Linked DNA regions of Rattus norvegicus. The protein of the gene in region 1 binds, or shares a complex with, the protein of each later gene. Links are inferred from orthologs where the notes say so. Each region holds a gene or a part of one and is shown on either strand. Other genes may lie near its edges.

Region 1 (4,279 bases):
GCAGATGCTGATGTGACAATCCAACAAGTCATATCGAATCTCCACTCCGTCTAGACTGCCCTGGAATAGGCCCTGAGGGGAGAAGTTACAAAGGCTTTAGCTCATCTCTCCTCTCGAAGCTCCTCCCTCTTCTACCTGAGTTCCCCAGACACCCAGTTACCAAAGGAAAGGAGAAATGGCGGAGGCCTTGGGTCTTCTGGAAGTGAAGAATCCTGTTTGTGGTGCTATCCACAGCTAGCACCACATTGTCCTCATGGCAGCGTGTAGGGTGACTGGGTGAGGACTCTTTGAACACCATTGTCATGACAGACACATTTTTTTCTAGCTTCCTTCTTAACCTATAAAGAAGGAGGGGCAGAGTTAGTCTTAGGACTCAACTGGTCCCTAAGTCTTGTCCCTGCCGTCTTCCCCACCTGACCTGTGTTCCTCCAGGGCTTTGGAAATATTGATATTTGAGACGACATCTCCATATATCAGGAGGAAATCAGAGCGCACCAAGGCCTTGGCATCGACATCACGGAGGACATCTCCTAGTGATCGGTACAGGTCTGATGTGATTATTCGAACAACATTGAGGGACGTAGGATGGCACCATTTGGATTTCCTGTGGGAAAGTGATGAGGAACTATAAAGTAAACAGACTATCACAGACCTGACCTCTAACCTCCATTCAGCATTTATACTCCTCTGTGGCTTCTCTGGCTTCCTGCCAGCGTCTCTGGCTTCAAAGAGACGCGTGAACCATAATAAATGGTTTCGGCTTCCAGTGTCATTAGTTTTATGTGTTTGAGAAGTATGACCATTTCCTTTCTATACCTTGACTCCCGTCTTGAAATGTGAGTTTGAATTTAAAATCCTATGAAATCTAGGCTATGAAAGTATTCTGGGAACACATTTTTTTTTTCAAGTCATCTTTCTTGTTCTGAGTCTGTATCAACTTTAAGCACGGTAACATGGAAAACATGTTCAGTATACTAGTCTTTACTTCCAAAACTCATAAATTCCCAGACTAGCTCTTCCAAATTTTAACAAGCATCTCTTAAGAACTTACAGTGGGCTTGAAACTAAGGAGGGCAGTGGGGGAGACAAGGGGAAAGAACTTGTTCCTGTCACTGGGGGGTCAGAACAGACAGTGTTTAGAAATTCAGTGGGAAAATAAAGATGCTCTTCCAATAACATACCCACTGGAACATAAAAAGCAAAACTCACTGGAACGAACTTTGAAAGACTCAGAAAATCATAGCCAAGCCTTTCGATTTCCATCACTGAAACCTCAAGGCAAAGAAAGCTCCAGCAGCTTCTCTCAGGACACGTGAAGAAAACACTAAATCATACACGAGCTCAGAACAGATGCAGTTTTCCTCATGTCTCTACCTCGTCAAACCCATGCTGGAAGGACTGGAAAAAAGACGGTGAAGCATGGAAAGGAAAAATTCCCGAGCCTTACTGTAAGTGTTCTTTGATCTGAGCAGCCTTCCAGCAGCAAAAGACAAATGTTTCCTGTACACCCGTGGCAGTCAAGAATTCCAGAGTATAGTCGATCAGCGCGACATTGGCCAGGGGCAATAGGACCTATAGGGCAGGATATGAAAAAGTCTGAGGTCTTCAAGCCATTATTATACTTCAGGTACCCCACTGCAACAATGTGCCTTTCATCGGGGCTTGCAGACACTACAGTTTGCTTTACCCTTTTATTCTAAAGCAAATAGGCCCAAAGGTTCAGTCTAAGATTTGGGCCTAGTAGACATGGTATCAGACACAGAATATGTTATAGGAAACCAGGGCTGACATTAAGGACAAATGTTGGCCCTAAATCATAGCTCTATAACTCTAAGCACTAAGACCTTCTTCTCATAGAATTTCCTCCTATTGACACTGAGTCACAGAAATCATTCAAACACTTGTCAAAAGTGAACAGTCGTTAGCCTTAGGAATTCTTAAGTAAAAGGCAAATCCCTGTTTGCTGAGGGACCGAGCAGTCTGCAAGCCCAATACCAATGTCCTATGTCTAGGTAGTTCCAAGGCTGAGGGGAACCCACTCGGTTCCCCTTGCAGCAGATGGGAGGAAAAGAGCCCGTACCAGGCCGAGATCTAGCCTTTTTCCCTTTAGGTATATATTACCATCGCTTTTTGAAGCATTTTTTAAATTGCCCATGTCCTGCAAGGTTAGAGGCAATGGAGGCCCCCTTGCGCTACTAAATCCCCCTGGGAAGGCTTCTTTCAAACACTGATTTTTTTTTTTCCTTTTCTTTTTTTCGGAGCTGGGGACCGAACCCAGGGCCTTGCGCTTGCTAGGCAAGCGCTCTACCACTGAGTTAAATCCCCAACCCCCTCAAACACTGATTCTATACACAGCCCTCTCAATCCTTCTCAAGGCTGGGCAGACAGCCCTGCGAGAATCCATATTTGCTAGCTACTCATCTGGACGGACAGCCACCGGGGTTTCAGTCAGTCCCTCCACTTTCTCTCAACCAGAAAAACTCAACTTTATGGTAACTTTCAGAACACGCTTCACTAGCAAGCTGCAGTGGCAACTTGTAGCCCTGCTACCCTCCAGGCCCGCAGGTTGCTCGCGTGCCGGGTCCTCACCCGAGGCTGGTCCTTGGAGATGGGGAAGAAGCGGCGGTCGAAGCTATCGGCCACTAAAACTGCCTGGAGGGGCGGCGGCGGCTCCTCCTCCGCACCTTGGGTTCCACCGCCGCCGGAGCCGCCGCCGCGTTTGTTCGCTCGGCCGCCTACAGCGCTGGGAACCGCCGCAGTGGCTGCCATTTTGCTTCGCAGTCAGCACGTCCGCCGGGAAGCCACACCGCACGCAGTAGGGGACAAAAAGGACTCGCAGTCAAAACGCGAAGGTGTGATTGCAAGGAGAGAAAGAGGAAGGAGTGCGCATGTGTATACTAGCAGGCCCCACCCACCCCCGTGCAAGGCCAGAGCCGGGGCGTGGCAGACCGTGCTAGTTTTGTAGGAGTTGGCGGTACTGGGTGGTGCACTTACCACGGAGGGGTGAGATCCCACCGTTGTCAAACTCGGTCAGCGAGTGCTGCTGAGTTAGGCAAGCTAAGATGGCAGCGAGCTGAGTAGGCTTGTGATCGCCCGGCAGGAGTCTGCAGCTTCCCTGCCCAGAGCTGGAGAAATCGCTCATCGGTTAAGGGCACTTACTGCTCTTGCAGAGAATCCAACTTCGGCGCCCAGCGCTCACGTGGTGGCAAGCAACTATGCACAATTGCAATTCTGTGGTGTCCAACTCACTTTCAACTGGACACATGCCTGTGGAATACATACAAGCTGGCAAAACACTCTTCCACATAAATCTAAAAATTAAATGTAGCTCTCCACTTGCAATTCTAGTCATCTAAGGGGATCTGTCGTCTTTGGGAGGGAACCCACGATCTGCCCAAATACTGAACGTGGAGGCAAGCGGTTAATTTTTTTTTTTTTTTTCGGAGCTGAGGACCGAACCCAGGGCCTTGTGATTGCTAGGCAAGCGCTCTACCACTGAGCTAAATCCCCAACCCCAAGCGGTTAATTTTACGGAGCACCCGCGGATTATGGGCTAGGTCGTGTCCCTTCCCTCCTCCGTGTCCCCTCCCTCCTCCCGTTCTGGAAATACGACCTAAAGCACGGGCATTTCTTAAACATTTAAATCAGACCAAGGAAGCACGCCCAACTAGTGAGTGGAAAGACTGGTGCTGGGGCTCATCTGACTCCCTAGTTCCACAAGCGTTATCACAGAAGAGGCTGGATCTAAGAGCAGCAGTAAACTGTAGGATTGGGGCGTAGTAAGCAAGCTTTTCAGGCTGGACGCTGAAGCAGAGCAACAGGTTTCGGGAAAAGAAGCTGTGGCCGCAGTTTATAAATCAAGCTTAAGGCTGAGGAAGCAATGGCACACAGCCTGGGCGTAATTCTGTCAAGCCAAAAAATTCCTGTAAGCAATCTGTGCCCATTCAGCACCAGAACCTCTGCTAATCCCACAGCCTGCAGGTTTCAGCAACTCCCTCTGTTGCTTCCACCCACCTCCCCCAGATGCCCTCTCTCCCCACAGAGAGTGGTTAGTTTGTGTTTCTACAGTTTAGATTCCTCATGGAACTCAGAAACCTGTTATTTCTTTCTTCGCTCAGTTAAGGAGGGTGCTGTGAGAACAACATTTGCTTTTGAAAACGTCGGTACAAAGAGGGAAAAGGTTAGTAAAAAAATTTCAATTAAATCAATGTAGTACAGGTCACCCAAGGGTGTATATTTCCACCACCGACTGAGACAGGAGGAAGTGAGATCTGCAGTG
Region 2 (3,081 bases), on another chromosome or scaffold:
CTCAGTGGTAGAGCGCTTGCCTAGGAAGCGCAAGGCCCTGGGTTTGGTCCCCAGCTCCGGAAAAAAAAAAAAAAAAAAAAAAGGAACATTGATAACAACCTGTAAATACACAGAGCAGAATCTTTACATCAGCCTCCATTGTCCTGCCACACCTTCCCTTAGCCAGTGCTCTTAACCACTGAGCCACCTCTCCAACTCCAACTCAAAAGTAATTGCTTTTGAAACAAAGTCTCACTCTATAACCCTAGCTGTCTTGGAACTCACATGGAGACCAGGCTGGCCTTTAAGTTTAAAAGACTGGCTACCCCTGCTGGGATTAAAGGAGAATTCTGGGAACGCTACCATGCTTGGCCTATGAATAGGTCTGTTGCCTAGTCAAACCATCTTGTTCCAAGCACTGTCCTGGAGCTAACCATTTTAGAAGGGTTTCTATAGACAGATTCAAGTAGGTGATGAAGGCCGCAGAGTGTGGGTTCCTGACTTACGAGGTACAAAGGCAGCAGAGTTATGGCAGTAAGGAATAAGTTTTTTATTGACCCTTGATGCCTTTCATTGGTCACTACTCTTGACTCGGAGGACAACAGGCACAGAACTGCAAGGGATCATGCCCAACTCTGTGATCACCAGATCCACAAGCTCGGGGGGAGTCACGTCATAGACCAGATTCAACAACCGGAGTGATGAGTTGTTCTGCCAGTTCGCCAGGGTCACCTGGTCTCCCCGCTTACACTGGAGATCGTCAGGGTCATCTGCAAAGAGAAGCGGGCGTCAAAGTCCTTCTAGAGAAGGTGTGGTTAACCTCCCCTTCCCGTGTCAAGTTTCCTCAGGTCCCCGAAAGCCTCCATTCTATTCTGCTTACCTAGCTCGTTGGAGACAAAGGCATCGGTCTGCACGCGTTCACAGAACTTGTATGTTTCACAGCAGACCAGTACTGGAACATTATGAGCTCGGGCCACCAGGGCCAACTGTGCTGTCCCTACCCTCGACATCACAGATCCATTGGCCAGGAGTGCATGAGCTCCCAATAGCACCTTAGAAACCTGTTTATTTTAGACAATGTGGAAATGAGGGGAAAATGTCCTGTTATATCAGTATATAATAAAGTTCCCCACTCCTGCCCAGAAGAGCAACAGTAAGCAACAATGTGGTTACATTGGCTGCTCTTAGAAAATACCTTGCTGTCTTATATCATCCCAGAACAGAACAGTGAAACTGTCCATTCCTACTAATGGCTGCTACTTTAATATAATTCTTGTAACAGCTAACCTGTACTACCGCACTGCATATAGCAGATGCTTTTGCCTTTTCTTCCTTTTTTTTTTTTTTTTTTTTGGTTCTTTTTTTCGGAGCTGGGGACCGAACCCAGGGCCTTGCACTTCCTAGGCAAGCGCTCTACCACTGAGCTAAATCCCCAACCCCCTTTTCTTCCTTTTTTTAATATTTATTTGTTGTATGAGTGCTCTGCTGCATATACACCCAAATGCCAGAAGAGGGCATCGGATCACCTTACAGATGGTCATGAGCTACCATGCGTCTGCTGGGAATTGAACTCCCGACCTCTAGAAGAGCAGCCAGTGCTCTTCACTAGTTGAGCCACTTCACCAACCATTTCTGTTGGCTTTTTGAGACAGCGTTTCTCTGGGTAGCCCTGGCTGTCCTGGAACTCACTCTGTAGACCAGGCTGGCCTCAAACTCAGAGATCACCTGTCTAGGGCTCCTGAATGCCACACCCAGAAGCTAGCTTCTTTTTCCTATTAAGGATAAAAGTGTTGGGTATGGTGCACACCTTTGATCCCACGACTTGGGAAGCAAAGACAAGCAGAACTCTGTGGGTTCCAGGCCAGCCAGGACTACACAATGAGACCTTGATTCTCCTCCTCCCCTCCAAAAAAAGCTACACAGAGAACCCTTTCTCCCCAAAATATAAACAAACAAACAAATACATGAATGAAATGAGTAAGGGCCACTGAGGTGGCTCACTGGGTAAAGTCACTGTGAAGCCTGGATTTCTGAGTTCCAGCCTCAGGACATAAATGGTGGAAAGAAAGATCTGCCTCAGCCTGGTATGGTGGCAGGTGAATCTCTGTGAGTTCAAGGCCAGCCTGGTCTACAAATTGAGCTCTAGAACAGCCAGGACTACAGAGAAACCTTGTCTCTAAAAACCAATAAAAAACAAACAAAAAAAAAAAAAGAAAGAAAGAAAAAAGAAAGAAGAGAAAGAACTGACTTCTGATGGTGTCCTGACTTCCACATGGGAACTGGGGCACACTGCCTTTCCCTACTCCACCACCTTATTCCCTTATTCCCCGCCTCAATAAAAAAAAAAAAAAGGAACAAAGGTAAGACTATTAAGTTGGTGTTACTATATCCGTCTCTTTTATGTCTAGAGTTGCTTTCCTGTGAGAATGCTCACCTCTGGGAGCACATAGGAGGCCGCAGGAATCAGCAGATAGGAGGTAGGGACCCCAGCACGGACCAGACAGTGGAGCATATGCCTTCCCTCCAGCCGGGGCCGGCTGTCTACCACCACCACCCGGAAGCGCCTGCCCTCAACCCAGGCCTCCTGGAGAATTCTCGACACCAGAGATGAGCTTGATATGGAGGGAGAAGAGATGTTTGTTATAAAGCAGCCTGTTTGCAAAGGCAAGGGCAGACCTTTCTTCTGCTGTCCCCCTCCCTAGTTTTCTGTCAGGTGTTGACCGTACCATCCATATACTAGGATCACGTCCCCATCACTGATCTTCTTAGAAGCAAATCGTGAAATTGCCTGAGATGCAAGCACAATCTTCTCTTGCACATACCGATCGATGGCTTCTTTAAGTTCTGACTTGGCCTAAATGTTGAGAGAACATGGATGCGGTTCACCCTCTGGTTGGCATGCCATAAGTCCCAAGCACGGTGGCACGCACCTTTGATCCCAGCACTCAGGCAGGAGGATCTCTGAATTCGAGGCCAACTTGGCCTATCTATTGAGCTCTAGGTCAGCCAAGACTACACAGACTGTCTTAAAACGAAAATCCCCATGCCAATGGGTCTAAGTACAAGTGCCTAAGTGCTCACCTAAGCAATGACGAGGGCCCT

The links. Proteins that work in one complex are often made in the same cells at the same time.
Region 2: the proteins of Eif2b5 (region 1) and Eif2b4 are in contact, whole or in part, in a cryo-EM structure (PDB 7D46), measured with the Homo sapiens proteins. The link is inferred for Rattus norvegicus from reciprocal best matches to the Homo sapiens genes EIF2B5 and EIF2B4. Residues at the interface, in NP_003898.2 of Homo sapiens: Arg163, Lys294, Arg339, His340, Glu357; in NP_001029288.1 of Homo sapiens: Arg357, Tyr393, Pro396, Glu397, Lys466, Arg467, Glu469.

The regions. Positions count from the first base shown.
Region 1 is NC_086029.1:93,905,996-93,910,274, forward strand, and holds the start of Eif2b5 (translation initiation factor eIF2B subunit epsilon), read right to left. Parts: upstream 2,806-4,279; 5' UTR 2,770-2,805; coding exon 2,590-2,769; intron 1,573-2,589; coding exon 1,448-1,572; intron 605-1,447; coding exon 419-604; intron 339-418; coding exon 161-338; intron 73-160; coding exon 1-72. UniProt on the Homo sapiens protein: Acts as a component of the translation initiation factor 2B (eIF2B) complex, which catalyzes the exchange of GDP for GTP on eukaryotic initiation factor 2 (eIF2) gamma subunit.
Region 2 is NC_086024.1:30,906,228-30,909,308, reverse strand, and holds the end of Eif2b4 (translation initiation factor eIF2B subunit delta), read right to left. Parts: intron 2,834-3,081; coding exon 2,706-2,833; intron 2,592-2,705; coding exon 2,414-2,591; intron 1,041-2,413; coding exon 860-1,040; intron 750-859; coding exon 550-749; 3' UTR 506-549; downstream 1-505. UniProt on the Homo sapiens protein: Acts as a component of the translation initiation factor 2B (eIF2B) complex, which catalyzes the exchange of GDP for GTP on eukaryotic initiation factor 2 (eIF2) gamma subunit.